Linked DNA regions of Macaca fascicularis. The protein of the gene in region 1 purifies or fractionates together with the protein of each later gene. This does not show direct contact. Links are inferred from orthologs where the notes say so. Each region holds a gene or a part of one and is shown in the gene's direction. Other genes may lie near its edges. The genes, in order: UPF3A, RBM8A, UPF1 and RNPS1.

Region 1 (7,380 bases):
CTTGCTCCTGGCACCCACCATCCTCAGGACCCTGGGTCCCTGGGCTTGCCTTCCCCTCTGGGACTCCTGCCCACTCACCACATCTCACCACCCACGGTCTCCTGGTGCCCAGGGCCACCTGGCTCGCAGGGGATGGTGGACGTGGGTTTTACTTGGGAAGACTAAGGGGATTAGGCCGCCAGCTTCCCAGAGTCACAGTCGTAGGGGTGATTTCTCACTGCCTTTCTTTCAGAGTTGATGAAGTATTCTTTCTGCTTCTTGGGGGTTTTGGTTTATTGCTTTGTTTATAAAATTTATGTCTGATTATCAAATCCGTGATTGTGAAGCACTGGGTTATGTTATGGGTGTCGTTACTGTGACTGTTCTTGACACTGCCACGTGTCTGGTGTGAATTCACGCTTGGTTACAGATCCTCATGGTCCCCACTAGCCCTGCCAAATGAGCGAAGCAGCCATTTATTTACTATTCATTTAATATTCTGATAAATGCATAAAGATAATGGATCTGCCATTATTAAATGTCAATTAATTTTACTCTGCACATCATGATGGATGTGCACCTGGGCTCCCAGGACAGCCACTGGACCACTTTAGTCTCAGTCACTTTGTAGAAAAGAAGGTTTATTTTATTTTTGATAAACAAAGTCTCGCTCTGTCGCCCAGGCCTGAGTGCAGTGGCACGATCTCGGCTTACTGCAACCTCTGCCTCCCACGTTTGAGCAGTTCTCCTGCTTCAGCCTCCTGAGTAGCTGGGATTACAGGCACGCGCCACCACGCCTGGCTAATTTTTGTTTTTTGTTTTTTTGAAATGGAATTTTCGTCTTGTTGTCCAGGCTGGAGTGCAATGGCATGATGTCAGCTCACCACGACCTCCGCCTGCTGGGTTCATGCACTTTTGCCTCAGCCTCCTAAGTAGCTGGGATTACAGGCATGCCTCTCCGTGCCTGGCTAAATTTGTATTTTAAGTAGAGATGGGGTTTCTCCATGTTGGTCATGCTGGTCTCGAACTCCTGATTTCAGGTGATCCGCCTGCCTCGGCCTCCCAAAGTGCTGGGATTACAGGCGTGAGCCACTGCACCTGGCCTAATTTTTGTATTTTTAGTAGAGACGGGGTTTCTTCATGTTGGCCAGGCTGCTCTCAACCTCCTGACCTCAAATGATCTGCCTGCCCCTGGCCTCCCAAAGTGCTGGGATTACAGGCACGCGCCACCACACCCACCTAATTTTTGTATTTTCAGTAGAGAGGGGGTTTCACCATGTTGACCAGGCTGGTCTCCAACTCTTGAGCTCAGGTGATCCCACCCACCTTGGCCTCCCAAAGTGCTGGTATTATAGGCGTGAGCCACCATGCCTGGCCGAAAGAAGATACTTACTTTGGAAGGTTAGTGAGAATTAGACAATATGTATAAAAAGTACCTTAGCGTGAGGCATATTGCTTATCTGTCACTCAACTGAAATGACAAATATTATTACTATGATTTATTCTTCTTTGTAGTGGTTTTTGTCAGTGCCTGCTGTGTGCCCATCACAGTGCAGCCTCAGCAGTGCAGTGCTGACACGGGCCCCTGTTGTCTGGGAACCTGCGGGCTAGAAAGGAGGGTGAGCAGCCGACTGGCGGTTACTGCAGTCGCTGATGCTTGGGTTGAACCACAGGTCACGCAGCGGCAGTGATAAAGAGTACAGGGATGTGGAGAGATCTCAAGAAAAAGAATGTGAAGCACAAAGACACCATGTGGATGACGGCAGGAGGCACAGAGCTCACCACGAGCCTGACTGGCTTTCCAGAAGGAGTGAAGATGAGCAGAGATGGGGGAAAGGACCTGGCCAAGACAGAGGGAAGAAGGGGAGCCAGGACAGCGGGGCTCCGGGGGAGGCCACGGAGAGAGTGGGAAGAGCACAGAGGTGTGACGACGGTCCAGCACCCAGAAAGGAGCGACTGGCAAACAAGGTTTTTATTAAACCCAAAAAGAAAAATCTGTCTGGCTGTCTTAAGGTCCAGGTTGCACGCTGACCGTGTCACCCCCACTTGGCCTTGTGTCTTGGGAAGCTCGTTATTCCTGAAAGTCAGATCCTAGAGTGAGACTAATCGTCATGTTTTCTCAGAGAGTCAAATTATTTTTCACCAGGAAAAAGAAAGATTTTATTTAGTATAAAACTAGCACGTTTGTATGATTCACTTGAGAATAAGATTAAATTTTCCCTTGAGACAGGAAGGAAAGTTTTAATATTTCATGGAGGTTTCTTCCACATTATCAATAACATTCTGATTATTAGTGAATATTCCCGTGGCTGACAAACACCTGAAGTTAGTTCTGCACAGACGCTGAGCACAGGACTGTGGTTACCCCCTTAGCCAAGCAAACAGCTTTTTTTTTCAGAAGTTTGAAGCTGATTTTTGTTCAGGTTGCGTTTTCCCAGCGCAGCACTACAGACGGCATCACCCTTCTGACAGCACCAGGCCCCACCCCGGCTCCCAGCAAACTGAGGGCTGCCTCGGGTTCGCATTCCCACTCACCTCCCTCCCCATGTCTGACCTCTGGCAGCCACTGTCTGTTCTCTGCCTCTGTGATTTTGTCATTTCAAGAATGCTTGATGAGTGCAAACACACAGTGTGTGAGCTTTGAGAGTGGCTCTCGTCACTCAGCCTAATTCCTTTCAGATCCTTCCAGGTTGTTGTGTGTAGGAACGATGTTCACTTTTTTTTTTTTTTTTTTTTGAGACGGAGTCTCGCTCTGTCGCCCAGGCTGGTGGCCGGATCTCAGCTCACTGCAAGCTCCGCCTCCCGGGTTCGGGCCATTCTCCTGTCTGAGCCTCCTGAGTAGCTGGGACTACAGGCGCCCGCCACCTCGCCCGGCTAGTTTTTTGTATTTTTTAGTAGAGACGGGGTTTCACCGTGTTAGCCAGGGTGGTCTCGATCTCCTGACCTAGTGATCCGCCCGTCTCGGCCTCCCAAAGTGCTGGGATTACAGGCTTGAGCCACCGCGCCCGGCCCGATGTTCACTTTTAAAGTGTTTCAGTGTAGCCGGGTGTGGTGGTTCATGCCTGTGATCCCAGTACTTCGGGAGGCCGAGGCGGGTGGATCACCTGAGGTCAGGAGTTCGAGACCAGTCTGGCCAACATTGTGAAACCCCATCTCTACTAAAAATACAAAAAATAGCTGGGCGTGGTGGCGCGTGCCTGTAATCCCAGCTACTCAGAAGGCTGAGGCAGGAGAATCACTTGAAACTGGGAGGCAGAGGTTGCAGTGAGCCAAGATCACGCCATTGCATTCCTGCCTAGGCAACCAAAGCAAAACTCCGTCTAAAAAAAAAAAAATGTTTCAGTGAAGTCAAGGCTGAAAGCCAGAGGAGAGCCTTCTTGTCTTCACCCTTGAATAAACACCTCTAGAATACTCCACAGTTTTCTGGGGTTGCCTGGACCTTGGGGGCACAAAGTACAGCCATGGGTCTCTTCGATAGGGAGTCCTCAGTTTTCAGTTGCCTTATTTTAGCAGTGGTGAATGGCGTGGTGCTCCCCTGACCTGAGGTGGGGGAGCATTCGCTCCTCTGTGTAGCCTCACAGTGCTGTGGTGGGAATGTGTGCAGGAGCTGCTTTCCCGGGAGCCTGGCATTTGTCATGTACTTCTGAGGTCAGGTTCCATGCTCCATCTGTGTACACAGGTACTGCCCTGGTAAGAAGCCGAATTGTCGGCCGGGTGTGGTGGCTCACGCCTATAATCCCAGCACTTTGGGAGGCAGAGGCGGGTGGATCACCTGAGGTCAGGAGTTCGAGGCCAGCCTGGCCAACATGGCGAAACCCCATCTCTACTGAAAATATAAAAATTAACCGGGCGTGGTGACACGCGCCTGTAGTCCCAGCTACTCAGGAGGCTGAGGCAGAAGCATCAGTTGAACCCAGGAGGTGGAGGTTGCAGTGAGCCGAGATTGCGCAGTTGCCCTCCAACCTGGGCAACCAGAGTGTAACTTTGTTTCAGGAAAAAAAAAAAAAAAGCTGTGCATGCTGGCTCCAGGCAGCCTGTCTCCGCCCCACAGGAGCATTCAGGTGCAGGGGCCTGCTGAGCCTGTTCGCACCCCTCCCGTTGGTCAGGTTCATACCAAGGAAAAGAAAATTCAGTTAAACCCCTTGATGGCAACCTGATGTGGGCTTCCACACACAGTCCAGGAGAAGGTAAAGATGAGCTGGTGAATCCTGGAGAAGTGTGTGAGATGTGTCCACATGGTCGTCCTTGCAGCCCACACTTGGGCTCCTGGTGACTGTTGGAGGCCAAGGCTGCAGCTCAGCAGGGAGAATAGGCAGGGAGCGGGAGGCTACAGGCCTCGGGAAGCGGGAAGCCACCTTCCTCCTCTGCCACCCCTTCAGTGCTGGGGCAGGGCTGGTGGCCCCGTCAGGGAGGAATTGTGCTGCTGTCGCTGCTGACTCTGGCCTTCAGGGCCACTCTGTGCTTCCCTGGCTGTTGCCTTCAGGCCCTGAACAGTTACCCTTCATGGATTTTTTGGTTCATTTTTATTGCTTTGCCTCCAGGAATTTAATAAAATGATGGGGTAGTGTTTTCCCAAAAGGGAGCAGTTCAGTTTCCCTGCTGGTAGATGCTAGGCAGGGATAAGCCCCGTGGAAATTGCTTACCACTCACGTTAATAACAGTTTGAGTTCGCAGATCTGAAGCCATCTCTGAGGGTCCACATCTCATTTTGTTTCAGGCCTAGGGACTGAGGTGGACATGTTTGAGTTTTCACCTCCCCAGCTCAGATTACAAGGTGTTCTTGGTGTGAGCAGTAACATTTGCCCAGATAACCGACATTTACGTGGCTTTTTAAATTGCCTGAGAATTCTGAGAGAGTGCTGTGAAAAGGGCTGATTTTTAGCTGCCAGGTTGATTTTCTTTGGACAATTCATATTATCAAGTTCTAGAAATACAAGGAGATGTTGACCCTTCTGTGTTGCCAGCCCTTGGAAGAGTAACATGCCCTCTTATCCTGGCAGGACCGGCCGGCCTTGCAGCTGTATGATCCAGGAGCTCGCTTCCGAGCACGAGAGCGTGGCGGAAGTGGGAGGATCTGCAAGGCAGAAGGTTCGGGGACTGGTCCCGAGAAGAGGGAAGAGGCAGAGTGAGTCACTGGGTGCACCTGGCCTCCATGGACAAGCGAAGGAATCTCAGAAACGTGTAAAGGACCCCGAGTGTGACTGGAAAGGAGAACTTACTCCTTACCAGGAAACTGGAAGCTAAAAATACAGAGGGTGACACAGAAACACGCAGACACCATTCTAAAGAAAGTAGTGATCTTGTATTAAATTGAGCAGAATTCTCACGGATTTTACCATTCCTGTTATAAACTAATATTTGTTTTTCAGCCAAAACAGAAAATGATTTTCACTGGACAGTAGAAAAATATGTGTAAAATAGGGAAGAAAGTTAGTATTGGATCAGTGTGAGTCCTGAAGCACTTTCAGTGCTGTGAGAACGACATCCAGTGTGGGCTTCATTCATTTATAGGCAGAGGAGCTGTCAGTCTCTCGTGCCTCTCGGTGGCCTCTGAGCTGTGCTGTCGAGTAAAGAGTAGTTCTTGTTTGTTACAGCCTCCGTGAGTCAGCCATGCCTGCAGAGTGTGCTGTGTTTTAGTCCTGGTAGGAATATATACCAGAGTTCCCAGTATTTAAAACCCAACAGCTTCAACTATTGCCCTTTCAACAGTTTTGCCACTGACCGGATGAAAATGGTTTCACAGTCTTTGGATGGATGCATTTCTGGTTTGTAACCATTACAGTTTAAACCACGGTTTAAGAATTTGCCCAAATAACAGAAATTTTGTTTGGGAAGGGATAAACTAGGTATAGCATATAGAGCCTGTCTTTGAGTTTTAGATACTTTATTTGTAAATAACTTAAAATAGCTTTCTGAAACCGTGCATTCTACAGTTTCTTCCTTTCAGTGAAATTGTTAAATGTTAATGTCTTTTTGGCACTGCGATTTTAACCATTTATTAAATACAAATTTTGTTAAAGAAGTATTGACATGTTCTTTGAATCTGTGTCAGGGAAATTCTGATTTGTTAGTTCAAATGCCTGACAGCATAATCATACAGATCTTCTCTTTTCTTGGTTTGGATGACACTGAGCAGCTGTCAAAAATGTGCAAAAAATTCCAAAAGGTAAGGCCTTAAAATATTTTACTGGTAAATATTACACAGACTTTCAAAAGGAGAGAGAATGACTTAGAAAGTCTTTTTGTTTGTTTGTTTTCTCGGAGATGGAGTCTCACTCTGTCGCCCAGGCTGGAGTGCAATGGTGTGATCTCAGCTCACCGAAATCCACGCCTCCTGGGTTCAAGCAATTCTCCCGCCTCAGCTTCCAGAGTACTGGGATTACAGGCGTGTGCCACCACACTTGGCTAATTTTTCTTAAACAAACACTGTCTGCATCTGCCCTAACAGAGTGAGAGAGAAAGACGAAACGCTAGTTACGACAAGCAAATTAACCCACCCACTCTTAAAAAAAAATCAGGGCCAGGCATGGTGGCTCACACCTGTAATACCAGCAGTTTGGGAAGCCAAAGCGGGCAGATCGCGAGGTCAGGAGGTTGAGACCATCCCGGCTAACACTGTGAAACCCCGTCTCTACTAAAAATACCAAAAAAAAAAATGAACCGGGCGTGGTGGCGGATGTCTGTAATTGCAGCTACTCCGGAGGCTGAGGCAGGAGAATGACGCTGGAAGGTGGAGCTTGCAGTGAGCCGAGATCACGCTACTGCACTCCAGCCTGGGCAAAAGTGCGAGACTCCATCCCAAAAAAAAAAAAGAATACTAAACACAATTCAGAAGGGCCACCCAGAGGGAGACAACAGTGTCACCACTACTTGCGCCACACACACAGGCTGTACTCTTGTCTGTTGGTTCTACTTGACAAAGGAAAACTAGCTGTTTGTTTCATCAATGAACCACAGCTGCAGGTGGATTTCCATACCAGGATGAATGAAGACTCAGACGTCACCTTCCGTTTCTAAGTGTACTTTGGCCGTTGTGTGGTCACAAACAGCATGAGAATGGGGCCTGGAAGCCTGAGGTGAAATCCAAAACTATGCCCTTTCAGGATAGCAAAGAATTTGACCTGAGCATCTTGGTGCTGGACAATAAGTACCAGGTAGTGATGGTCAGTGGCCGATGCTTGTAGAGCTTTGACCATCGAATCCCACCTGAGTCTGTGAAGATGGTGCAAGTGTGGAGAGATGTCTCCCTGACCAAAATGAGTGCAATTGAGGGTGATAACCAGGCTCCCTGTTGACAAGGAATCCCTGTTTCTGCATGACCATGGGATTCCCAGAGCCAGGTGACAGCGTAATTCCTCCTCACTTCAGCCCTTACTCTTGCTCATTAAAACCTTGCCAAAC
Region 2 (7,292 bases), on another chromosome or scaffold:
AAATCCTTAGCATAGCAGACCCTAAACTGTATTTCCAGCTTTATTTTCCAGTCACATAGCATCAGGCAGACAGAATATCCTGCCATTCTAATATTCATTCATTCAATAAGTATCTATCAGATGTCTACCATGAGCCAGACATTGGGCTGAACTTTAGGGATTTTAGTTGTAAATAACTATCTCTGCCATAAGGATTACACTCTAATGGGAAAAACAGACAATAAGTTAGAAAGTAAACAAGGTAATTCTGACTGGCCTAAGTAACATGGCAAGACTCTGTCTCTACAAAAGATTTTTTAAAAATTAGCCGCATGTAGTGGCGTGTGCCTGTAGTCCCAGATGCTCAGGAGGCTGAGGCAGGAGAATCACTTGGGCCTGGGAGATTGGCCGCTGTGAGCCATAATTGCACCGCTGCACTCAGCCTGGTTGACAGAGTGAGACCCTGTCTCAAAAAAAAAAAAAAAAAAAGAAGATTCTGATTTAAGTTCTGTGAAGGAAATACACAGTGAAAGATAGGAGGGTACAGAAGATCCCTTTGGGTGACAGTACTATTGAGACCTTAAGAATGAGGTCGAACTCGGCTGGGCGCGGTGACTCACGCCTGTAATCCCAGCACTTTGGGAGGCCGAGGTGGGTGGATCACAAGGTAAAGAGTTCAAGATCAGCCTGGCCAATATGGTGAAACCCCGTCTCTACTAAAAAAATTTTAAAAAGCTGGGCGTGGTGGCACGTGCCTGAAGTCCCAGCTACTTGGGAGGCTGAGGCAGGAGAATCACTTGAACCCAGGAAGTGGAGGCTGCAGTGGGCCGAGATCGCGCCACTGCACTCCAGCCTAGGTGACAGAGCGAGACTCCATCTCAAAGAAAAAAAAAAAAATGAGTTCGAACCCAATATGTGAAAAGCTAGAGGAGAAGAGCACCAGGAACAGAAAGCTGCGGGGAGCAGTGGCTCATGCTTGTAATCCAAGCACTTTGGAAGGCTGAGAAGGGGGGATGATCAGAAGTCAGGAGTTAGAAACCAGGCTGGCCAACATGGTGAAACCCCATATCCACTAAAAATACAAAAATTAGCTAGGTGTGGTGCCGCACGCCTGTAGTCCCAGCTACTCAGGAGGCTGAGGCAGGAGAAGACTTGAACCCGGGAGACGGAGGTTGCAGTGAGCCAAGATCGCATCACTGCACTCCAGCCTGAGCGACAGAGACTCCCGTCTTGAAAACAAAAACAAACAAACAAGTTGCAAAACCCCTGGGATGAGAAAGAGCACACCACCATTGGGCGAAAGTGCAAGGAGAGCTTCATGGGTGACGGAGAATGGTGGTAGAACAGGTTGAAAACACAGAGCAGGCTATGTGAGTTAAAAATTTTATTTTAAGTGCAGCAAAAAGCCAAAGAAAGAACCAGGTGCAGGGTTACACGCCTGTAGTCCCAGCTGCTTGGGAGGCCAGAGGATCCCTTGTGCCCAGGAGTTTCGGGCCAGCCTGGGTAGTATAGCCAGACCCCTCTAACAAAAAGGGTTTTTAGGCCGGGCACCGTGGCTCATGCCTGTAATCCCAACACTCTGGGAGGCAGAGGCTGGTGGATCACCTGAGGTCAGGAGTTCAAGAGCAGCCTGGCCAACATGGTGAAATCCCATCTCTACTAAAAATACAAAAATTAGCCGGGTGTGGGGGCGGGCGCCTGTAGTCCCAGCTACTTAGGAGGCTGAGGCAGGAGATTCGCTCGAACCCCGGAGGCGGAGGTTGCAGTGAGCTGAGACCGCCACTGCACTCAGCCTGGGTGATAGAGCGAGACTCCGTCTCAAAACAACAAAAAGGGTTTTTAGTAGATATGTAACCAACTGATTTTTAAAATGATCACACTACCTACGTGGAGAATAAATTAGTGTCTCCTAATCGCTTTGAAATTTTTCGTTTTACTCTTTTTCACTTTTTTTTTTTTTTTTGAGACGGATTCTCGCTCTTGTCCCCCAGACTGGAGTGCAGTGGCAAGATCTCGGCTCGCTGCAACCTCCATCTCCCAGGTTCAAGTGATTCTCTGGCCTCAGCCTCCCGAGTAGCTGGGATTACAGGCGCACTCCACCACGCCCACATAATCAACCTCCGTCTCGGGTTCAAGCGATTCTCCTGCCTCAGCCTCCCGAGTAGCTGGGATTACAGGCAGGGAGTTTTATCTTAAAAAAACCAAAAATTGATATCGGTCTCACCAATCATATTGCAACCAGGTCTGTTAGTTTCCTGAAGAGAAATTAGGTGCTGCAGTACGTTCCAGAAGCAGCTCTTTATGCCCGTATTGCTGATCAAACTATTTTTTAAAGACGTTCCTATCATACATCACCTTGCCTCGGAACAGGGTACAGGCCTGGGATTTTTGATAGAAAAAGGTGTCTTCAGTGACCATTTCCCAGTTTGGGATGAAGAGACATAAAGAAGCCCTCTAATAAGGAAATTACGCCGGGCCTCACTGTTAATAGTACAGTATCTCTCAGCAGCTGCCGCGGTTAAGAGGAATCCACTGACCCCTGTAGTCTGCACCTCCCAACATGGCAGCATTTAGCTCGCGACCTGCTCAAGATGGCCACAGAAACACTTCCGGCATCTTTCCGAACTAGGCCCGCCCCAATTTGCGTATTTTTACCGTGCAGAGGGAGGGATTTAGAGTTAGCCTTTGATTGGTCAGCTTGACTGGCGACCTTTCCCCTCTGCGACAGTTTCCCGAGGTACCTAGTGTCTGAGCGGCACAGACGAGATCTCGATCGAAGGCGAGATGGCGGACGTGCTAGATCTTCACGAGGCCGGGGGCGAAGATTTCGCCATGGATGAGGATGGGGACGGTGAGGACAGTGGAGGCGGCCGGGCGTAGCGGGGAAGGTGTGAGAGAAGGCTATAATAGGAAAATTTACTCTCTTTTCTCCCGGGTCGTGAGGATGGGAATCGGGGAACCGGGTCTTGGATGGATTAGAGATTCCGCCCCCTTTGGGAGAAGGGAGGGCGTGACCGGGAAGGCACTGAGACTGGAGGCGGTTTGGGTCGGCTTGCAGACAGTGTCTTGGGAAAGAAACGATCATTACAAATGACTGTCATGGTTACTTACTCTTTTATCTTCTGGGGCTCCAGAGAGCATTCACAAACTGAAAGAAAAAGCGAAGAAACGGAAGGGTCGCGGCTTTGGCTCCGGTGAGTGTGGGGAGAATGGGGTAGAGTGGCCTAGTAGGGCAGGAGCCCCGGGTTTTGGAGTCCCCACCCAACTCATAGGAACAATGGGAGAAAGGGAGAGTTTTCGGTGATCTCGTGTGTGTCCCTTATAGAAGAGGGGTCCCGAGCGCGGATGCGTGAGGATTATGACAGCGTGGAGCAGGATGGCGATGAACCCGGACCACAACGCTGTGAGTAATAATGGAACCTGTGAGGTATCCGTGCCTGTGGTAGTAGTTAGAAAGCGATAAAATAGTTAAGCAGTAGGAGTGGGTTCAGAGATAGCTTAAACAATCTGAGTCCACACTCACTCTACTCCCGTGAGCCTGCTTGAAGCGTTTCTCTCATGTACTCATACAACTTCCCCCCGTCCCCCAACAGCTGTTGAAGGCTGGATTCTTTTTGTCACTGGAGTCCATGAGGAAGCCACTGAAGAAGACATACACGACAAATTCGCAGAATATGGGGAAATTAAAAACATTCACCTCAACCTCGACAGGCGAACAGGATATCTGAAGGTATTCTAAGTGACACTTTATTGCCTCCTTTCTTTCATAACCCTTAGACAGCATTGGTAGTTCTGTGTTTGCTGTGGTTGGCCAAGAGCAAAGTTAAAATAAAATGACATTGGATGTCATTTTATTAAATAAAATGACATTTAAAACATGGATATGTTTTGTCAGACACGCCAAAGAGACAGACATGTTGTATATATACAGAGATATATGATGTACATTCATTGCTTAAATTTTATAGATTTTTCTGAGTTTAGATTTGAGGAAAAAGGTACTCAGTGATGCTTGGGGAAATAGGAGGGTTTTCATATCTGTCTTTTTACTTTCCCCAGGGGTATACTCTAGTTGAGTATGAAACATACAAGGAGGCCCAGGCTGCTATGGAGGGACTCAATGGCCAGGATTTGATGGGACAGCCCATCAGCGTTGACTGGTGTTTTGTTCGGGGTCCACCAAAAGGCAAGAGGAGGTAAAATGAAGAGGGCAAACACTGGGTGAAGGGAATATGAACAAAACAGAATGAGGAGGCAGTATTATGTCCCTCTGATGGACTCTTCTCCCTGCTTCTTTTTCCCTAGAGGAGGCCGAAGACGCAGCAGAAGTCCAGACCGGAGACGTCGCTGACAGGTCCTCTGTTGTCCAGGTGTTCTCTTCAAGATTCCATTTGACCATGCAGCCTTGGACAAATAGGACTGGGGTGGAACTTGCTGTGTTTATATTTAATCTCTTACCCTATATGCATACTATTTGAGTTGCGAATAAATGTTCCATTTTTGTTTTCTACATTTAATATTACTTTCCTATCATAAAATTGAAAGTTCTAAAGCATAGTAAGGCTGTATGGATCATTGTGAAGATAATTCTAGGGACTGAACTCTATTTCTTTTTTTTTTGAGATAGAGTCTTGCTGTGTTCCCCAGGCTGGAGTGCAGCTGCGTGATCATAGCTCACTGCAGCTTCAAACTCCTGGGCTCAAGCCATCCTTCTGCCTCACCCTCCCTAGTAGTTGGGATTACAGGCACATGCCAGCATGCCCGGCTAAATTTTTAATATTTTTGTAGAGATGGGGTCTTGCTGTGTTGCCTGGGTTGGTTATGTGAATTTCTATACTAGATACAGTCTCAAGTTTCAGGTAGGGTTTAAAGTAGACACTGGTCAGTATTTCTTTTTTGGGGGAACTAGGAGAGCAGGAGTAGAAGTGAGATGTTAAGATCTTATGGTATTAAAGACTTATTATTTTGTTCCTATATACTCTGTTAGGATCAGATAGATGTTATAGAAATGTCTTTTGTTTCTCCTGCACTTCTTGATGTCACAGTTTTTTGTACTTCCTGCTGTCTAAGGGCATGAATCTCCTGTTGGAGCATTCTCCCAGACCCTTCGTTAGAAGAGTCTATACTAAGTTCTTGGTGCCCTCTTTGGCAGCCAAGGGTGAAGGCCCCATAGAGGAGAGGATCCAAAGGAGCATTGAGGAGGCCAAAAAGGAAAAGGATGTGGCTCAGGCTGGGAGGGACTTCAGTTAGCATGGTGGGGGAGAACCAGTACCACAGACCCAGTAGGTAATAAGGTGTCCAGCAGAGGATGAAGGTCAGCAAGATAAGCAGGGCCGGTCTCAGGGCCCGGAGACGAACACGGGGACAATTGTCAAAGGAGCGGCAGAGGGCAAATTCACCAGCAGGGGCTAGGAATTTAGAAAATATACTGTAATTCAGAGTCTAAGCTTCTGAACTGAGTGTAGGGTGAACTGATGGAGGGGCATAGCTAGTGACACAGAGCTTGCCTCCTACAAGGAGGAGAATGCTGCAAACCCTTTTCCCCTTCCCATCCTAGGACTATATGATCTCTTACCCCCAGGGATTATCATAGAAATGTGAAGCCACCCAGTCTACTTTAAGACTTGATGGTGTTCAAGAATAAATAATACTGATTGCCTCCCTAGTCCTTGTCCAGCTAACTCAGCTGTTTATAATTGAAAGGATTCAACAAAATTAGCATCAGGTGCTAGACATATGGTTAGGATCTCACCACAGTTGAGTGACTGGTAGATAGCTATTAGGTAGGTGGATAAATGATGCTAGAGGCAACAGGTCTAGGGTTAAGGATTAAGGCCTGGGAATTGGAGTCTCACCATGGCTCCCCTTCCTTGTCTGAGGGCTGGACACACTGAGGACAATGTGGCTATAGCAGATGGCCATGGCAGTCAGTGGCAGCAGAAAGAGGCAGCGGAAGGTGAAGAGGTTATAGGTGGTCTCTTGCCATCGAGCCTTGAAGCTGCCTTTGGTGACACACTGAGTGAAAGGGACTGGGCCAGCTCGGTGGACGGTATGGAACAGGAACAGCTGGAGTGGAGTTCAGGACTATTAGAACTGGTTCCCCTCACCACCCAGCCTACCCACCTATGTCATACTGTCTCCTCCCAATTCATCCTTAATTCCAAGTGAAGCAGCACAGTGCTGAAAACAGTTCATCCATGGTGCCATGTTAAAGAGGTTGGAAATATGTCTTGAAAATCCTGCCTTCCTTTTAGGCTTGAATATGATGCTGAGCAGTGAGTTTGTTAAATCTTGGAACTTAAAACAATCCCACCTTCTCAAGTACTATTCTAACACTGCGCTTTATAAGGGATGATATTTCTACCACCTCACTCATATTTTTAGCTGAAATGATTTTCCTGGTATGTCTGTTATTTTGTGGAAAAAGAAAAACTGTGTAAAATAGGTGCTGCCAAAATTCCAGGCCATTTTGCAGTGACTCTGAAGTGACCTTTAGTAGTTATAGTCTTATGTGCAGTAACTATAATGGTAAAGAATGTTAAATAATAAAATTTAACATTTTCCAAATGCTGTTGGGCTGCCCCTCCCCCTTTTTGTTAAATTGCTGGGTTTTCCAACTGAATCAGTAAAAACTATTTCCGTTTAGAACTACAAGGTTAAAGTGCCTGGGTTCCAGTAATGCAGATTGTCACTATTAATTTGATAAAAAGTAAGCTCAGTAGGTATCAGATTCCTAGATACAAGGCATTTGGGACAGTGATTTTAGCAGACATGAGGGACATTTAGGAAAGATGAATAGTTTCAGCATAAGACAGAATTTTGAGAACTGTTTGGAGTTACAATCAGGCTACTCTGAGCTAGTTGGAAAATGTTCTTTCCTCTTCCCATCTCTTGCATTCATATATTTATAATTTGTTTTTGTTTTTGTGCTATGCCTAAGAAGTACGTGAGAATCGTGAGGAGTATAAAAATAGTCAAAGCTGGCTGGGCGCGGTGGCTCATGCCTGTAATCCCAGCACTTTGGGAGGCTGAGGCGGGCTGATCACGAGGTCAGGAGATCGAGACCATCCTGGCTAATACGGTGAAACCCTGTCTGTACTAAAGATACAAAAAATTAGCCGGGCGTGGTGGCAGGTGCCTGTCGTCCTAGCTACTGGGGAACTCCAGGAGGCTGAGGCAGGAGAATGGCTTGAACCCACGAGGCGGAGCTTGCAGTGAGCTGAGATTGTACCATTGTACTCCAGCCTGGGTGACAGAGCGAGACTCCAAAAAAAAAAAAAAAAGTCAAAGCCTACAAAAATAAGTAATTTCTA
Region 3 (7,998 bases), on another chromosome or scaffold:
GCAGTGAGCCAAGATTGCGCCACTGTATTCCAGCCTGGGTGACTGAGTGAAACTCCATCTCAGGAAAAAAAAAAAAAAATGTGAAGAAGGAAAACAGAACCTCTGTTCCTGTCATGATAAACAGGCAAATTGGAAAATAAGGAACCATGGCAAATCAGGACCTTTTAGCTCAGCTGTGCAAGCTAGGCGCTCTTTCAGCTGACTTATTTAAAGAGCAGCAGAATCTTGGGACAGAAAGGGAAATGGGGGATGTTTTCCAAGATACTTTACCAGAGAGGAAGCGGACGCCTGGGGTTAGGAAATTAAGGCCCATAAACCAGTAGCTTACCTGGGATTTAAAGTGTCAGAAGACTTTTCATTGAGTACCTACTATATGAGGCATCATTCTCTCCGTGCGGAAGATCATAATGAAACAGGCCAACCCCCTGTCCTTATGGAACTACATGTTAAGAGTGACTGGTAGTTCATTTATTCCTCTCATATATATACATATATATATAGAGAGAGAGAGAGTGTATATATATATACACACACACACACACTCCCTATCTATATATAATAGAGTGACTAGTAGCTCATTTATTCTTATATATATAGTGTGTATATGTATGTATATATACATACTGTCTATCTCTCTCTATATATATAATAAAGTGACTAGTAGCTCATTTATTCCTCTCATATATACAGTGAGATATATAATATACACCATATATATATCTTTTTTTTTTTTGAGACGGAGTCTCGCTCTGTCGCCCAGGCTAGAGTGCAGTGGTGCAACATTGGCTCACTGCGGCCTCTGCTTCCTGGGTTCAAGCAATCATCCTGCCTCAGCCTCCCGAGTAGCTGGATTACAGGCACGCACCATGCCCGGCTAATTGTTGTATTTTTAGTAGAGACTGATTTCACCATGTTGGTCAGGCTGGTCTCGAACTCCTGATCTCAAGTGATCCGCCCGCCTCGGCCTCTGAAAGTGCTGAGATTACAGTCGTGAGACACCACGCCGGGCTCCATTATATACATACATATATATATGTGTGTGTGTATATATATATATATCAGCAGCAACCATATATCACATGAGAGGAATAACCGAGCTACTAATCACTTTATTAATATATATTAACATATATAAATATATATTAACATACACACACACATACGATCTCTGTCACCCAGGCTGGAGTGCAGTGGTACAATCATAGCTCACCGCAGCCTCAAACTCCTGGGCTCAAGTGATCCTCTTGCCTCTACCTCCTAAAGTGCTGGGATTTCAGGAAAGAGCCACCTTGCCCAGGCTTCCTATCCTACCTTAATGGCAACAGAAACCCTAGGCTCAGAGAGTTTAAGTCACCTGTATAATTTATTTTTTATTTATTTATTTATTTTTTTGAGATGTGGTCTCGCTCTGTTGCCCAGTCTGGAGTGTAGTGGTGCGATCTCGGCTCACTGAAAGCTCCATCTCCCGAGTTCATGCCATTCTCCTGCCTCAGCCTCCCCAGTAGCTGGGAATACAGGCACCCGCCACCAGCCCAGCTAATTTTTTGTATTTTTAGTAGAGACCGGGTTTCACCGTGTTAGCCAGGATGCTCTCAGTCTCCTGACTTGGTGATCCGCCCGCCTCGGCCTCCCAAAGTGCTGGGATTACAGGCTTGAGAAACCGCGCCTGGCCTACCTCACTTGTATAATTTCACACAGCTGATAAGTGGTTAGCTCTAGATTCCACCACACACCATGTGCTTCCTGTTGTTTTGCTGTATATGTCCACTAAATAATAATCATAGCAAAAATAGTAATTGTATAATGACAGCGGCAGAGGCATCAGGAACAGCAGCAACCATCATTTCCAAGTGTCAGGCCCAGTACCTAAGACTATCCCCATTCATTTATTTTTACTTATTTTTGAGACAGGGTCTCGCTCTGTCACCCAGCCTGGAGTGCAGTGGTGAGAACCACCACACTTAGCTAATTTTTTTTAGCTATTTTTTTTATTTTATTTTTTGAGACGGAGATTCACTCTGTCGCCCAGGCTGGAGTGCAGTGGCACAATCTTGGCTCACTGCAAGCTCCGCCTCCTAGGTTCAAGCGATTCTCCTGCCTCAACCTCCCAAGTAGCTGGGACTACAGGCTCGTGCCACCACGCCTGGCTAATTTTTTGTATTTTTAGTCGAGACGGGGATTCACCGTGTTAGCCAGGATGGTCTCGAGTTCCTGACCTCGCGATCCGCCCGCCTCGGCCTCCCAAAGTGCTGGGATTACAGGCGTGAGCCACCGCGCCCGGCCTAAGTTTTGTATTTTTTGTAGAGATGGAGTCTCACTCTGTTTCCCAGGCTGGTCTCGAACTCCTGAGTTCAAGCCGTTCTCCCGCCTCAGCCTCCGAGTGTTTGGGATTACAGGTGTGACCACCGCGCCGAGCCCCACCCCCTTATTAAACCAATGCACAGGGAGCATCTACTATGTGCGAGGCACCCCCCATTTTACAGATGGGGAAACTGAGTTCCAAGCAGCTTTTGCCAGGAGTGGGAGCGCGTCGTCCCTGCCCAGCCTCTCCAGTTGGGCATTTCGAGATCACCTACGTAGGCTATTCGGCTAGCGCTTAATTAAACCGAAACACTGTCGCAGCGACCACAGGTGCAGACCACCACGTCCACACCACCCGCCGCCCGGGAGTCCCCGATTAGCAGTTGGGGCGGGACCAAGTCCTCGAGGGGCCGCCGCGACGGCGGTTGAAAGCCTCACCCCCTGCGCGTGCGCGTTGAGCGTCCCGTCGTCCCGCTGGGCACCCGGCGTCCGCGAAGAGCGCGCGCGCTTCCGCCGGCGCCGGGCTCGCGCACGCGCACGGCGACGGCGGCGGTGGCGGCAGTTCCTGCCCGGGGCTGCGAGCGGCGGGCGGCTTCGAGGGGAACTGAGGCGCGGAGGGGCTCGGCGGCAGCGGCGGCGGCTCGGCGCTCTTACATCTCGGTTCGGCTGGCGCCGGGGAGGGCGGTTCGGTCCTTTCCAGGCGTACGGGGACGACAGCGGCAGCGAGCCGAGGCCTGCGGCCTAGGCCTCAGCGCGGCGGCGGGCTCGAGTGCGGCGCGGAGCCGGCCCGAGGGCCCTACCCGGCAGCACCATGAGCGTGGAGGCGTACGGGCCCAGCTCTCAGACTCTCACTTTCCTGGACACGGAGGAGGCCGAGCTGCTCGGCGCCGATACACAGGGCTCCGAGTTCGAGTTCACCGACTTTACTCTTCCTAGCCAGACGCAGACGCCCCCCGGCGGCCCCGGCGGCCCGGGCGGTGGCGGCGCGGGAGGCCCAGGCGGCGCGGGCGCGGGCGCCGCGGCGGGACAGCTCGACGCGCAGGTGAGCGGCACATGGCGGCGCCGGAAGCCCGGGCCTTGTCTCGGCGCCTGAGACCTGTCCCTAGCCCGTCTCGGGCCGGGCCTGGGTTTGCCCGGAGTCCCCCGTCGCGGCCGGGCCTGGGGCGACCTGCCCCGGGTCCCCTACTCCGGCTGGGCCTGAGCTTACCTGCCCCAGGTCCTGCACTCTGCCCGGGCCTGGCCTGATCTGCCCCGGGTCTCCCGCTCCGGCCTGGACCTGGCTGAGTTCCTTCGGCCCCCAACTCCTGGGCTGGGCCGACTTGCCTCGAGTTCTCCACTCCGTTCGGGTCCGAGCTAACCTGACCCTCTTCCTTTACTCCGGCTGGGTTTGCTCCTCCGCCTGGGCCCGGGCTGACCTGCCTTGTGTCCCACAACCAGCCTGGCCTGGAGTAACCTGCCCTGGTCTGAGTTCTTCCACTCTCTCCGGGCTAGGGTGACCTGCCCTGGTCCCTCTTTCTCAGGTCTCGGTTTTCTGCCCCGAGTTCCCCTACGGCCTGGGCCGGGTCTTGCTCAGGCCGGATCTTGAGTGACTTCCCTCAGTCCCCTTCCGGGAGTATCCAGGGTGACCTGCCCTAATCCTGTCTCTGGCCTGGTCCGGGGATTCTGCCCCGTCTCCCCAATGGGGGGTCCGGCCGCACTGTCCCACCTCCCATCTGTGGTCACAGCCATCTGGGCATCCCCCCTTCCACAGTCACGGAGCTGTAGGTTCGAATTTTCCCAAGCATAAGGGCGCTGGTCAGCGGAAGATTGAGGCAGGGAAGAATTTTTGCCTCCCATAGAGGAGCACACATTGGCTGGCTATTAAGATCATTCAGGAAGCAGTTTGTATTTTATTTTTTCTTGCATCGCCTGTTGCTGAAACCGACCTGTTACATAACTCCACAACTCTTGCCTTGGAAAAGTTGGGTTTGAGTTTTGTTCCTCCAATAAGACAGCAGTAATGGGTTTACATAAATGCGTCTGCCACGTTGGAAACTCATTTTTAATGATGTGGATGTTTAGAGAAGGTTACTTAGGTATTTAAATGGGGGCTTGGGTTGGGAGAAGTATCAGGCATGCATTTCCTGGTCCTGGGTGCTGCCTGCCTGGGGTGGGAGAGGGGCTGGGGGGGCGCGGGTTGCACCGGGCTCCAGGGGCATGTCCTCATCATCCTCTGGATCTCAGGTTGCTTTCACTTTAGGCTTGCTTTGTGCCTGACCCCTCGCTCAGGTTTATTTTCCTGACAGGGAGTAACTCCGAGGCTCACCTTGGCACAGGTGTCCCTTGGCATGTGCTGGTGTTTCAAAGCTGGGAGAACCACTCCTTGCTCATCCTGAGTGAGCTCAGACCCTGTCCTTGCATGAGGGGGGCTTACGTGGTAGTCGGCTGAGTCATTCCCGTGGGTAGACCACCCACTTGGGCTTCCTTTTAGCCCCTAATGGAAGCAAGAAACATTTGACTCATTCTAACCCCATATTCCTTAAAATAGAAAGTTGGGTGTGAGGAGAACAGGTGTGCACGTATGGGTGGTTTTTTCAGTTTTGTTTACATTTTGTGAAGGTGGGGAGGGAGAGAGGAGAGGTCCCTTGAAGAAGGGAGCAGGACCTGCGGAGGCCCCGCCTCCTTGTAGTTTTTATGCCCTGTAGACCTTTCTGCTTCCGCAGCTGTGAAATGGGGGTGGCAGTTGGATTTTTGTTCCTTTTAAACATAAAGGAAACCTAGATCCATGTGTGAGTCGACTGTATAGGCTGTTTGTAATCTGAAGTCCAGCCTGTCGGGGAGACTCAGGGTAAAGATCTCTGTGGAGCAGTGAGCCATGAGCGTGACAGCGCGGATAGAGGGGTTGGCTGGTGTCAAAGGTAATCATTTTCTTGTGAATCCTTTTAACTGTGGCCAGCATAAAACAGCAAACCTGGGGCAGCCTTTAGTTCTACTTTTGTTTCTGGCATTCCGTTTGGGATTAAGTGTGGCGCATGTCCTTCTCTTTCAGTTGAAACAATTGATTTTTTTCCGTGCACCTGAACACACTGGGCTGTACAAAAGGAGAGCATTAAAACGCTCCCCTGGAGGTAAACATTGCAGTTGAGCTCACTAGAGTTCTGATGACATCAGATGGTTTGTCCTGTGCTACTTTTAATTGACCCAGATGCCCCACCCACCTGTTACCTGTAATTTGGATTTGTTAGTGGGGAATGGGAGTGGCATCCCTTTGCATCACAAGGGGAAGACCGGAGTTTGGGGGCAAGGAAGTCTGTGTATATAATTCAAGGGAAAGCGGAAGAAAGTTATCACTTGTGTGGATTGATTTGGGAAGACTTTCCCTGTTTGTCCTCAGGAGTTGGCTGTGTAACCAGCTGTTAAGTTGGGGGCTCCTGGAAGGACTCAGAAAGCTTCTCATTCTGTTTTTTAATTTTTATTTTACTGGGCAAGTGGCAATCAGCTGTCAAGTGCCCTGCAGTCACTTTTGCTTAACAGCTTTATTGAAATAGAATTCACTTGCCGCACCATACAGTTTACCCATTTAAAGTGTACAGTTTGGCCGCTTTTATTTAGTATATTCAGAGTTGTGCAGCCATTACCACAGTAAATTTCAGAACATTTATGTCACCCCAGAAATAAACCCTGCACCCCTTAGCCCATCTGTCCTCCCTTCCCCAGCCCCTGGCAACCACTCACCTGCTTTCTGTCTTAAGATGTGCCTGTTCTGGGCATTTCACATGAATGGAATCATATCATATGTGGTGTTTTGTGTCTGGTTTCTTTCACTTTGCATGATGTGTGAGAAGTAGCTACAAAGCTCACCTTGTAGCTACTCCCTGACCGAGCATTCAGGAAAATGAACCTGATCGAGGTTCATCCACGCTGTGGCATGTGTCAGCATTTCATTCCTTTTTTTTTTTTTTTGAGGCAGAATCTCGCTCTGTTGCCCAGGCTGGAGTGCAGTGGCGCTATCTTGGCTCACTGCAACCTCTGCCTCCCGGGTTCAAGCGATTCTCCTGCTTCAGCCTCACTAGTAGCTGGGATTACAGGTGTGTGCCACCACGCCTGGCTAATTTTTGTATTTTTAGTAGAGACGGGGTTTCACCATGTTGGCCAGATGGTCTCGATCTCTTGACCTTGTGATCCGCCTGCCTTGGCCTCCCAAAGTGCTGAGATTACAAGCGTAAGCCACCACACCCGGCCAGCATTTCATTCCTTTTTAAGGCTTAGTAATATTCCATTGGTGGAATGGTCCAGATGGATGAACCATGTTTTGTTTATCTTGTCTTCTGTTGATGGACATTTGGGTTGTTTCCACCTCTTGGCTCTTGTGAATAGCATTGCTGTGGCCATGCATGTACAGGTTTCTGCGTGGATGTGTTTATAGACGTGCTGGGCCGCATAGTAACTCTGGGTTTAATGGTTTCAGCAACTGCGAGACTGTTTTCCAGTGTGTAGCCGCTTTCCATACCAACCGCACCTGAACTGATTTCGCACAGTTGGTTTTTCCTTAATGTCTGTTGAAAGACAAGAGTGTGTGTCCCCACCGGGGTGGGAAAGTGGCAGCAGGGGTGACTCCCTATACTCAGGGCTGGCTCAGGTAACACTCCTTTTCTTGTTTATGAAATGAAACTGGTATTTATCAAAGCCCTTGAGATCCTGGGATGAAAAGCACTGACACAGTATTGCCAAGTGTCCTTAAGATAAAGGGACAGTTTTCGAGCATCCGACCCTTTCCTGGGCCCATCTCTGCTGCCACCTCTCCTGCTCCCAGGACAGTGAAGGTAATTTCAGAAGTCCTTTGCATAATGGCTGGTGTTACAAGTCTTTTGGTCTGCCTGGTTGGAATATTTCCTCTTGACTGTAGCTTCTGCCCTGTATCCTCCAAACGGGAATTAAAGTGAAACTCTTAAGAGTTGGAAATATTGCTCAGTATTAAGAAGGAACAAACTATTGATACCTGCAACAACATGGATGTGTCTCATAATAATTACTTTTTTGAATGTGTGATTCATCGTATAATTTAATTCATACAAAATTCTAGAAAGTGCCAGCTAGCCTGCAGCAATAGAAAACAGACCAGTGGTGGCTGGACAGAAAGGGGAAAGGGGAGGGAAAGGGCTGGCAGGTGACAAAGGGCACAGGAAACTTGGGGGTGATGTATGTTTTTTATTATCATGATGTGACAGTTTTATGGGTGTTTAAGTACATTGACATATGTCAGTTTCTAAAATGGCACACTAAACATTTGCAGCTTATGGTATGTCAATTATACCTCAATGAAACTGGAAAGAAAAGTCAGGGAGATATCACTACCCATCCATTCCCATGGCACCCTTTTTTTTTTTTTTTTGAGACAGTCTTGCTCTGTGGCCTAGGCTGGAGTGCAGTGGTGCAATCTCGCTCACAGCAACCTCCACCTCCTGGGTTGAAGTGATTCTCCTGCCTTATCCTCCCTAATAACTGGGACTACAGGTGCGTGCTACCACACCCGGCTAATTTTTTGTATTTTTTATAGAGGCAGGGTTTCACAATGTTAGTCAGGATGATCTTGATCTCCTGAGCTCATGATCTGCCCTCCTCTACCTCCTAAAGTGCTGAGATTACAGGCGTGAGCCACTGCACCTGGCCTGCCACACTTTTTTTTAAAAGGCTGAAAGTGCTACTTGGGTTTTGTGT
Region 4 (7,988 bases), on another chromosome or scaffold:
CTCAGCCCCCAGGTCCTGAGAGGCACCCCAGGTGCCTCAGTCACAGTCCCAGGCAGCTCAGGTCCCAGGCGGCTCACGGTCACTATCCTTGACTTCATTGTAGCAGAAATGGAGTGCTTTGAGCTTGTGATGAGCACAGGCTCCCGATCCTGGGAGAGTCCAGACGTGCCCACTGGAGGGGCCCCAGGCCCTGATGATACCCACTCCTCAGACATGCAAACCCGGAGCCAGGGAGGCCTCAATGAACCGTATACTCTCCCAACAGACCAAGCTCACCCCACACCAGCACAAGGCCCTTTCAGACCCAGCCTGGCCACCCCAATGGACCTGGCCAGCACCTCCCCCAGCCCGACCCTCTCCAGACAGGTGCCAGGCTATGGTGACCTGCCTCTCAGCAGGCACGGCTCCTCCTCTGATGCCTCCCCCGAGGTCGAGTCATTACTCCCTCGTCCACCTGACTGGGCTGCACACGGCCTCAGTGCAGAGCCAGGTTTTAGTGGGTAAAAGGGCTCCCTTGCTGTGCTTTACCAGAGAATACAACACCCTCCCCAAAGCTCCTTCATGACCCACTGTGACCTGCAGCACCACCAAGCCCATCACCAACCCTGTGTCCCAGGCCACGAGCCTCTAAGCGCAGGCACTGCAGAAGCCACCAAGCAACAGAGGATGGAGGCAGGGAGGACATTCTGCCTTCATGAGGGCATGCCCTCAAAGACAGAGTCGCCCCAAACAGTCAGCAGGTGACCCTCAGCTCTGGGAAGGCAAGGGGAGGAGCTCAGGGCCATGGCCAGAGCCCACGAGAAGCCTGTGCCCAGCACTGCAGTGCTCTGGCCACTGCATAATGCCGTGTCCGCAAAGCCCTGCCTGCCCCCTGCAGCAAACCAGGGCCCCTGAGGCTCCAGAAGCCCCAGCTCCACTACCCTCAGCCTCCATGGCCTTAGCAGCCTGGCTCTGGGGCTGAGCTCCTGGAAGGACAGGGTGGGGGTAGGCTCCTGACTTTTATTTTCTCACGTTTCTTTCAGACATGCTTCTGCTGATCCTCAAAACGGCAAAAGCCAGGATGCTCAATTCTCAAAGCTCAACAGCTGATGGCACATTTGATGACAAAAATCAGTAATATTTAGAAACAATTTTGATTAAATTCATAAGTGCCTGAATAAATCATACTCGTCGATTTAATATAAAATGTGTGAAAGCTTATTCGCAGGCCAAATGAAATTACTGCAGAGCATTAAAAATCAGCAGGGGGAGGGCTGTCAGCCCAGCTGGTGCTGCGTCACCCCCACCCATGTCACGTGGGGTCACCAGGCTGCCCCTCCCCACCAGGTGTCAGTGGGGCCCTGGGCATGGGCTCTGGGTTTGGGGTCCTTCAGCACCTCTCTGACCACTGGACTCCAATGCACCTGAGAGAACTCCGCCTGTGCCTGCCTGGACCACTGAGACTGCCCCCTCCCCTAGCACCGACTCTGGGGCCCCTTCAGCAGGGGGGCGGTCCCTCTGTTCCACTTAACCTTCCATGCCTGGGCACAGCAGGTGTGACAGTAATGCAGAGAATCTAACTTACATGTCATCAAACCCAAATCCAACGGGGGTACCCAAACCAGACTGATGGGCCTGCCAGCCTCCACCCACAGGAACACACTGGTGACTTAGTGCGGTGGACTCGGGAGGTAGCTCCTCCTCCCAGCTGCCTTTGTCCCCAACTCCTCGCACATCCCTTAGCCCAGGGTGAAGAGTCAAGGGCACACCTGACACCCTCGGACAGGGCCAGAGGGAGCGGGCCCGGGCAGGAAGTCACCAAGAGCTGGCTTCCCACACAGAGAAGAGGGCAGTGACGGCAGACCACATCCCCACCATACAACCATTCACCCGCCCACCCACTCTGGGTCACCGAGCTGCACCCTGTCCTTTGCTCTGACATCTGAAGTCTCCAAGTCATGCTGGTTGTCTCCTCCCAAAGATCCGCTTGGATCTGCTTCCTTCTCCCTTCCTTGCTGCCAGGAAGCTGTTCAAAGTCGGAAGCTGAGCACACAGTCAATCCCTCCACAAATAATCAAAGGGCAACGACTACCTAACAGGCACAGCAGTGAACAAAACCCGGCCGGGGGCGGTGGTTCACGCCTGTAAAGTAATCCCAGCACTTTGGGAGGCCAAGGCGAACCTAGGAGCGAGCACTTTTGGAGCGAGCCTGAAAGCCTAGGAGCGGATCACGAGGTCAGAAGTTCGCGACCAGTCTGGCCAACATAGTGAAACCCAGTCTCTAATAAAAATACAAAAAATTAGCCGAGTGTAGTAGTGTGTGCCTGTAATCCCAGCTACTCGGGAGGCGGAGGCAGGAGAACCGCTTGAACCCGGGAGGCGGAGGTTGCAGTGAGCCGAGATCGCACCGCTGCACTTCAGCCTGGGCAACAGTGCGAGACTCTGTCAAAAAAAAAAAATTCCGCCGCGTCAGTGTGGGGCGTTGACGCGGAGCCTCCTGCCTGGGCCCCTACAGCGTCACCCCCTCCTCTGTGCCTGCCAGAGGCGCCACCTCTGGACTCTCCCAGAGTCGGACCCTGGTCGACAGTGTTCCCTGCTCGGACCCTGCACCGGCCGTTAGATGAAGCCTCGGCGCTGCGCCGTTCACACGCTCCGTGCTGCCTCCACTGAGAATTTGGCGCGGGCCTGCGAGCCTGTGCCCCGGCCTCCCTTCCCTGCTTCCAGCGAACCTCGGCGTCTGCTGTTCCCCCGCCGGGCGCGCCCTTCCACTCTAGTCTCAGCGGCAGTGTCACCTGCCCGGAGACGCCCCCCGTTGCACCCCATCTCCCATCCTCAAGCTCGTTGCTCTTCCTGCCCGCACAGCCCGCCTGCAGCGCCCACCCTGGAGGTCCGCCTGCGCGGAGGCCGCGTCCACGAGAGCACCCCAAACGCCACCAGTGGGTTTTGACCGCAGGAACGCAAGTCCTGCCCCAGCCCGTCTCTCCGAGCTACTTCCGCCCTGCAGGCCCCCACGCCCCGCCACGCAAGGCCGCAAAGGCTGCGCACCCCTCCTGTGCGACCACCCTGCCGCCCTCAGCACAGCCGGGCCTGGAGCCCCGCCTCCACCGCCGGCGACAGGGGCCAGAATCGGCCCGGGCGGGTCCAGGGAGCCCGCGCAAGGAAAGGGGCGGGGCACGGCCGCGATAACACCCTCCGCTCCGGACGACGAGCATCGGTTATCGCGCGGCCCTCCCAGGCTCAGCAGGCTACCCATGTGCTCGCTCCAGCAAGCGTGCAGCCAGTCCGGTCAGTCCCAGGGACTTTACCGGCGAGGAGACACCCTGAACGTCCCCAACGCGGCTACCACAAACTGCCTTGACTGTCTAACACTTCCCCGCCGGCGCCCATTGGGCCAGGCGTTTACGTCATCGCTACGCGCCGGACGGCGGCGTCTTCCCGCTCCTTGACTCTGACGTCAGAGCGGCGCCGGCCTCGGAGGCTGAGGAAAGCAGGAGGAGGTGGTGGCGGCGGGAAGATGTAAGTTGGGGCGGAATCCGACCGCATCCGTGTTTCGGGGGCTGCCCGTCAGGCCCGGCAGGACGCATCGTGAAGCCGGTCCACTTCTCAGCCCCGCAGTGCGGCGGTGGCCTGGCAGCGCGGTGCGGGCTCCGAGAAGAAAGAGTGTGGCCCGGGGCGGGCGGAGTGGGAGGTGTCGAGGCCGTGGCCCGGAAGTGATCGGGGCCGCCGCGGACGGAAGGGCGCCTCTGCTTCGTCCGCTCGGCGGTGGCCCAGCCAGGCCCGCGGGACTCGGAGCAGCGGTGAGCGCGGCCTCCGTTCTTGGGGCCCTCCCGCCGGGCCGGAGACCCAAGCCCCCAACGCCAGGCGCTGCCCTGGAAGCGCTTGCGGCCCGGCGCCTGGACGGGGAAGTTGTGAGTGAACGCGGACGGGGAGCGGCGAGGTCGGCGTGTCGGGCCGGTGCCGGCGGGCGCGGAGTTTCTTTGTGGGATGCGGTGGAAGGTCGGCCGATCCATCCTTCGGAGTCATTAATTCAAACGTGTACTCCGCGAACGTTTCCCGGACTCCCGTGTGCAATTGTCGGCGCTAGGCCGTGGGGATACGGCCCACTATGGACCGAACACGGTGTCCGAGCTCAGTTTGATGGGTTATCCCAGAGGGGTGGATACGGGAAGGTTAAGGTTGATGGAGGAGAAACGTGGAGTAGGCTTTTTGTCTTGATTTCTCATGAACTGTGCCTGAAATGTACTCTTAAATGGGGAAGGTGCTCTGAAGATTTATGCCGAAACGCCCTCTCCTCGAGATTTAACTAATTGTTCTCTCCTCTCTCTGGCTGTTGGACGCGCACCTTTCCGGAGGATGGGGGAGGTAACCGAGGTCCTGAGCCGGTACCTGAACTTGGGTGAACAGAGAACCTCAACTTTTGCTTTCTAGCACTCGACCGCACCCAGCGAGCCGTCCGCTTACTCAGTGGTTCTTAGTGTTTGGACTGCTTGAGAATAACTGGTGGTGTTTGATTCCACAAAGTACATTTGGGCAGATCTTTAAGTCTGGGGGGGTGGGGCTGAAATCTGCGGGTGTGACCTCCACTCTAGGTCTGTGCTGTCCAGTGAAGTAGCCATTGGCCACATGTGGCTACTAAGCATGTGAAATACAGCTCATCAAAACTGAAATGTTAAAACACATACCAGTTTTAGAAGACTATGAAAAAAAAGTAAACTTTTATTAGTAGATTTTTATGTTGATTATATGTTGGAAAGATAATATTTTGGATGTGTCAAGTGTTAAAAATTTCACCCATTTTTGTGATGTGGCTACTAAGGAATTTCAGGTGATGCTTGTGGCTCCTCACACTGTTTCTATTGGACATTTCTGCTGCAGGTGATCCTAAGGCAGATGAGTGCAGGAACCCTGCTGAGAGTTCAGAAATTACGTGTGACTTTGGAGACAAATGTCTGGGGGAGGGAGGAGCCTTTACAAATCTTGCTCCTAACATTATTGAGCTTTTCATTAATGCCCTGGGTAACTATAAAGTTGGAATTGTAATTGTCACCATATTGATAAGAAACTTGAGAAAGGTTAAGTGACTTGTCGAAAATTACACCGTAAAACCTCAAATCAAACCCAGGCCCTCTGGTTGCAGACTCTGAATTATACTCTGAATGATACTCACTGACTGTCCGAGGACACCAACAGTGTCGAGGCACTATCTGCTGGGTGTCTGCAGAACCTTACTATTCTAAAGCAAAACATGATACCCCCGGACAAGAGCAGCAGAGGTGGTGTTCGGCCCTCCTTGGCTCATTTGACTGTTTAAAGCCAGGTGCTTTTCTTTCTTGGGTCAGAACACGTTTTCAGCAGCATTTTGAAGCACCCCTGGCAGGTACTGCACAGGGAAACCAGGACCCCATTGGTGTGCTGTGTCCTCCTTACCAACTGGCTCTTGGAGAAGGTGAGACAGAAGTAGCTGAGACTCACATCCTGAGAGCTGCACTTAACAACTCCTGCAGCTTGTGCAGAACTTTACTGGAAATACTGAAGGCGTCCCTGGAAAATAGGGCCCATAACTAATTAGTTTGCTTTTGAGTAATGAGTAACCGCTATTTGAACACATTCTGCAGTCCAGGCATTTTGCTAAACTCTTACATGGCAGGCAGTCTCTCATGCAATTTCAGTGCCTACTTTTTTTTCATCTTATTTTTGAAAAATTTTTAAAGCACAGGAACGTCAAATTATACAATTAATACCCACATAAAGACTACTTAAGGGCCAGGTCTGGTGGCTCACGCCTGTAATCCCAGCACTTTGGGAGGCCAAGGTTGGCAGATGACAAGGTCAGGAGTTGGAGACCAGCCTGGTCAATATGGTGAAACCCTGTCTCTACTAAAAATACAAAAATTAGCCAGGCTTGATGGCAAGCACCTGTAGTCCCAGCTACTCAGGAGGCTGACGCAGAAGAAACGCTTGAACCCAGGAGGTGGAGGTTGCAGTGAGCCAAGATCGTGCCACTGCACTCCAGCCTGGGTGACAGAGCAAGTCTCCATCTCAAAAAAAAACAAAACAAAACTCAGAGGTTAAGAGTCTGTAAGTTATATTTCTGCTGTATTTGCTAGATGGTTTTTATCAATCTTAGTTTTTCTTTCAATCTTAGTTTTTCTCAATCTTAGTTTTTCTTTCAAAGTAAATTGCAGACTTGCATGTATTTTCCCCTACACTCAATATGCATATTATTAAAGTACAGTGCAATTACTGCTTTTTAAAATGATTCTTCTGCTTTTTAAATGTTCATATGGTACGTTTCATCTGTTTGCTTTTGGGTATTAAGTGTTTTAATGCTGGTACCAGTCACTTTTGAAATGATTTTTGCTTCCAGTCACATCCGTGTATCCTAAAGGCAAATTGCCACAATAAAAGAGGAGATCTAATCCTATCTGGAGACCACCCTTGAGTTAGGTTTTTCTCTGTTCTGCATGTGAATGTGGTGCTGTGGCATTTTGAAAGGACTGCAGGGGCTCATCAAACTTGTGGGTGAAAACTGAATTGTTCAGCCTGTAAAATAACAGTGATGGGCCCCACCATCTCCTCCATTTTTTTTAAGAAAAATATAAGTGGGGGCGACAGTTGTGCCTGTGCCTTCTGTGCAGGGTAGAGATGCCTCCATGAGCACATGGGGATTGTCCCTGTGTGTTCCTGACTGTGCGGACACTCATTGCTTACTGTGCTCCCTTGCTGTCTTTTTGTGTGCTCAGCTTTTGACTGCAAAGTAGACTTGTTGCCTTGCCAATTCGTTCACTCTTTAAACCCTTTTATCTTGTTATTAGGCTGCTCTTTGGCGTAAATTGCAATCGATTAGGGATCGTTTCTCAAAATCAAGTTAGAAGTGAGAGTTCAGATAAGTGAGGCCGCCATTGCTGCTTTGAACACCTCAGAAGGGGAGAATGGATTTATCAGGAGTGAAAAAGAAGAGCTTGCTAGGAGTCAAAGAAAATAATAAAAAGTCCAGCACTAGGTAATCCTTCTGTAAGATTTTTCTAGTGCTACTTGGGGGTGCTTACTGCTAGGGACCCGCAGAAAGGGGGAAGTGGAGAATGTTCTGCATTCTACAGTCAGTGTTCTGAGCCACAGGCCACTTTACTCTGATCACCTGGGGTTTCTGTGGCCCTGCTGATCCCCTCTTTTGGGTTGTGCTGTTTGGGTTTGGTCAGAGGAGCACACAGTCTCACACTCTTCCTCACCATCCAGGGCTCCTTCACCCACCAAACGCAAGGACCGCTCAGATGAGAAGTCCAAGGATCGCTCAAAAGATAAAGGGGCCACCAAGGAGTCAAGTGAGAAGGATCGCGGCAGGGACAAAACCCGAAAGAGGCGCAGTGCTTCCAGTGGTAGCAGCAGTACCAGGTGGGGCGGGCTGGCCTGGAGTCTGGAGGGGACCTGTGCCACAGCCACACCCCTACTCCCCACAGATGGCTCAGTTTTCTTGATTATTTACAATGAAAACACATCCTCTGATTGTTAGTACAGACCCTAATTTATGGCAGACTGGCCAGGTGTAGTGGCTCATGCCTGTAATCCTGGCCCTTTGGGAAGCCGAGGCAGGAGGATTGCTTGAGGCCTGGAGTTCAAGACCAGCCTGGGCAACAAAACAAGAGCTCATCTCTACAAAAAGTAATTTTTAAAATTAGCTGAGAGTGGTGGCATGCATCTGTAGTCCCAGCCACTTGGGAGGGCTGAGGCAAGAGAGTGGCTTGAGCCCAGGAGTTTGAGGAAAATAAAATTAGTCGGGTGTGGTGGTACATGCCTGTACTCCCTGCTACTCGGAAGGCTGAGTCAGGAGGATGGCTTGATTCCAGGGGATGGAAGCCGCAGTGTGCGGAGATCATGCCACTGCACTCCAGCCTGGGTGACAGACCCTGTCTCAAAATTAAAAATCAATCAAGCCTGGGTCAGCCTCAGCCAGCAGCTGCCTTCCCAGCCTGAGTTGACAGTTCCGACTTTTGCCAGAGTCCTTTGCCTCT

Evidence for each region.
Region 2: the proteins of UPF3A (region 1) and RBM8A purify together in Homo sapiens (co-immunoprecipitation; 4 studies listed by BioGRID and IntAct, with this or other methods). This does not show direct contact. The link is inferred for Macaca fascicularis from reciprocal best matches to the Homo sapiens genes UPF3A and RBM8A.
Region 3: the proteins of UPF3A (region 1) and UPF1 purify together in Homo sapiens (affinity purification with western blotting; 5 studies listed by BioGRID and IntAct, with this or other methods). This does not show direct contact. The link is inferred for Macaca fascicularis from reciprocal best matches to the Homo sapiens genes UPF3A and UPF1.
Region 4: the proteins of UPF3A (region 1) and RNPS1 purify together in Homo sapiens (co-immunoprecipitation; 4 studies listed by BioGRID and IntAct, with this or other methods). This does not show direct contact. The link is inferred for Macaca fascicularis from reciprocal best matches to the Homo sapiens genes UPF3A and RNPS1.

Annotation. Positions count from the first base shown.
Region 1 is NC_088391.1:104,541,110-104,548,489, forward strand, and holds the end of UPF3A (regulator of nonsense transcripts 3A), read left to right. Parts: intron 1-1,494; coding exon of another isoform or gene 1,495-1,555; exon of another isoform or gene 1,556-1,652; coding exon 1,653-1,947; intron 1,948-4,979; coding exon 4,980-5,108; coding exon of another isoform or gene 5,109-5,223; 3' UTR 5,224-5,998; downstream 5,999-7,380. UniProt on the Homo sapiens protein: Involved in nonsense-mediated decay (NMD) of mRNAs containing premature stop codons by associating with the nuclear exon junction complex (EJC) and serving as link between the EJC core and NMD machinery.
Region 2 is NC_088375.1:113,488,326-113,495,617, forward strand, and holds RBM8A (RNA-binding protein 8A), read left to right. Parts: upstream 1-2,736; 5' UTR 2,737-2,763; coding exon 2,764-2,830; intron 2,831-3,113; coding exon 3,114-3,173; intron 3,174-3,304; coding exon 3,305-3,382; intron 3,383-3,572; coding exon 3,573-3,709; exon of another isoform or gene 3,710-4,038; coding exon 4,039-4,175; exon of another isoform or gene 4,176-4,284; coding exon 4,285-4,330; 3' UTR 4,331-4,491; downstream 4,492-7,292. Other genes in the region: GNRHR2 (gonadotropin-releasing hormone II receptor), read right to left, coding at 5,809-6,045.
Region 3 is NC_088393.1:19,232,199-19,240,196, forward strand, and holds the start of UPF1 (regulator of nonsense transcripts 1), read left to right. Parts: upstream 1-2,861; 5' UTR 2,862-3,112; coding exon 3,113-3,343; intron 3,344-7,998. UniProt on the Homo sapiens protein: RNA-dependent helicase required for nonsense-mediated decay (NMD) of aberrant mRNAs containing premature stop codons and modulates the expression level of normal mRNAs.
Region 4 is NC_088394.1:3,038,949-3,046,936, reverse strand, and holds the start of RNPS1 (RNA-binding protein with serine-rich domain 1), read left to right. Parts: upstream 1-3,435; 5' UTR 3,436-3,493; coding exon of another isoform or gene 3,494-3,495; 5' UTR 3,496-4,687; exon of another isoform or gene 4,688-5,425; intron 5,426-6,794; 5' UTR 6,795-6,911; coding exon 6,912-6,982; intron 6,983-7,215; coding exon 7,216-7,371; intron 7,372-7,988. UniProt on the Homo sapiens protein: Part of pre- and post-splicing multiprotein mRNP complexes. Auxiliary component of the splicing-dependent multiprotein exon junction complex (EJC) deposited at splice junction on mRNAs.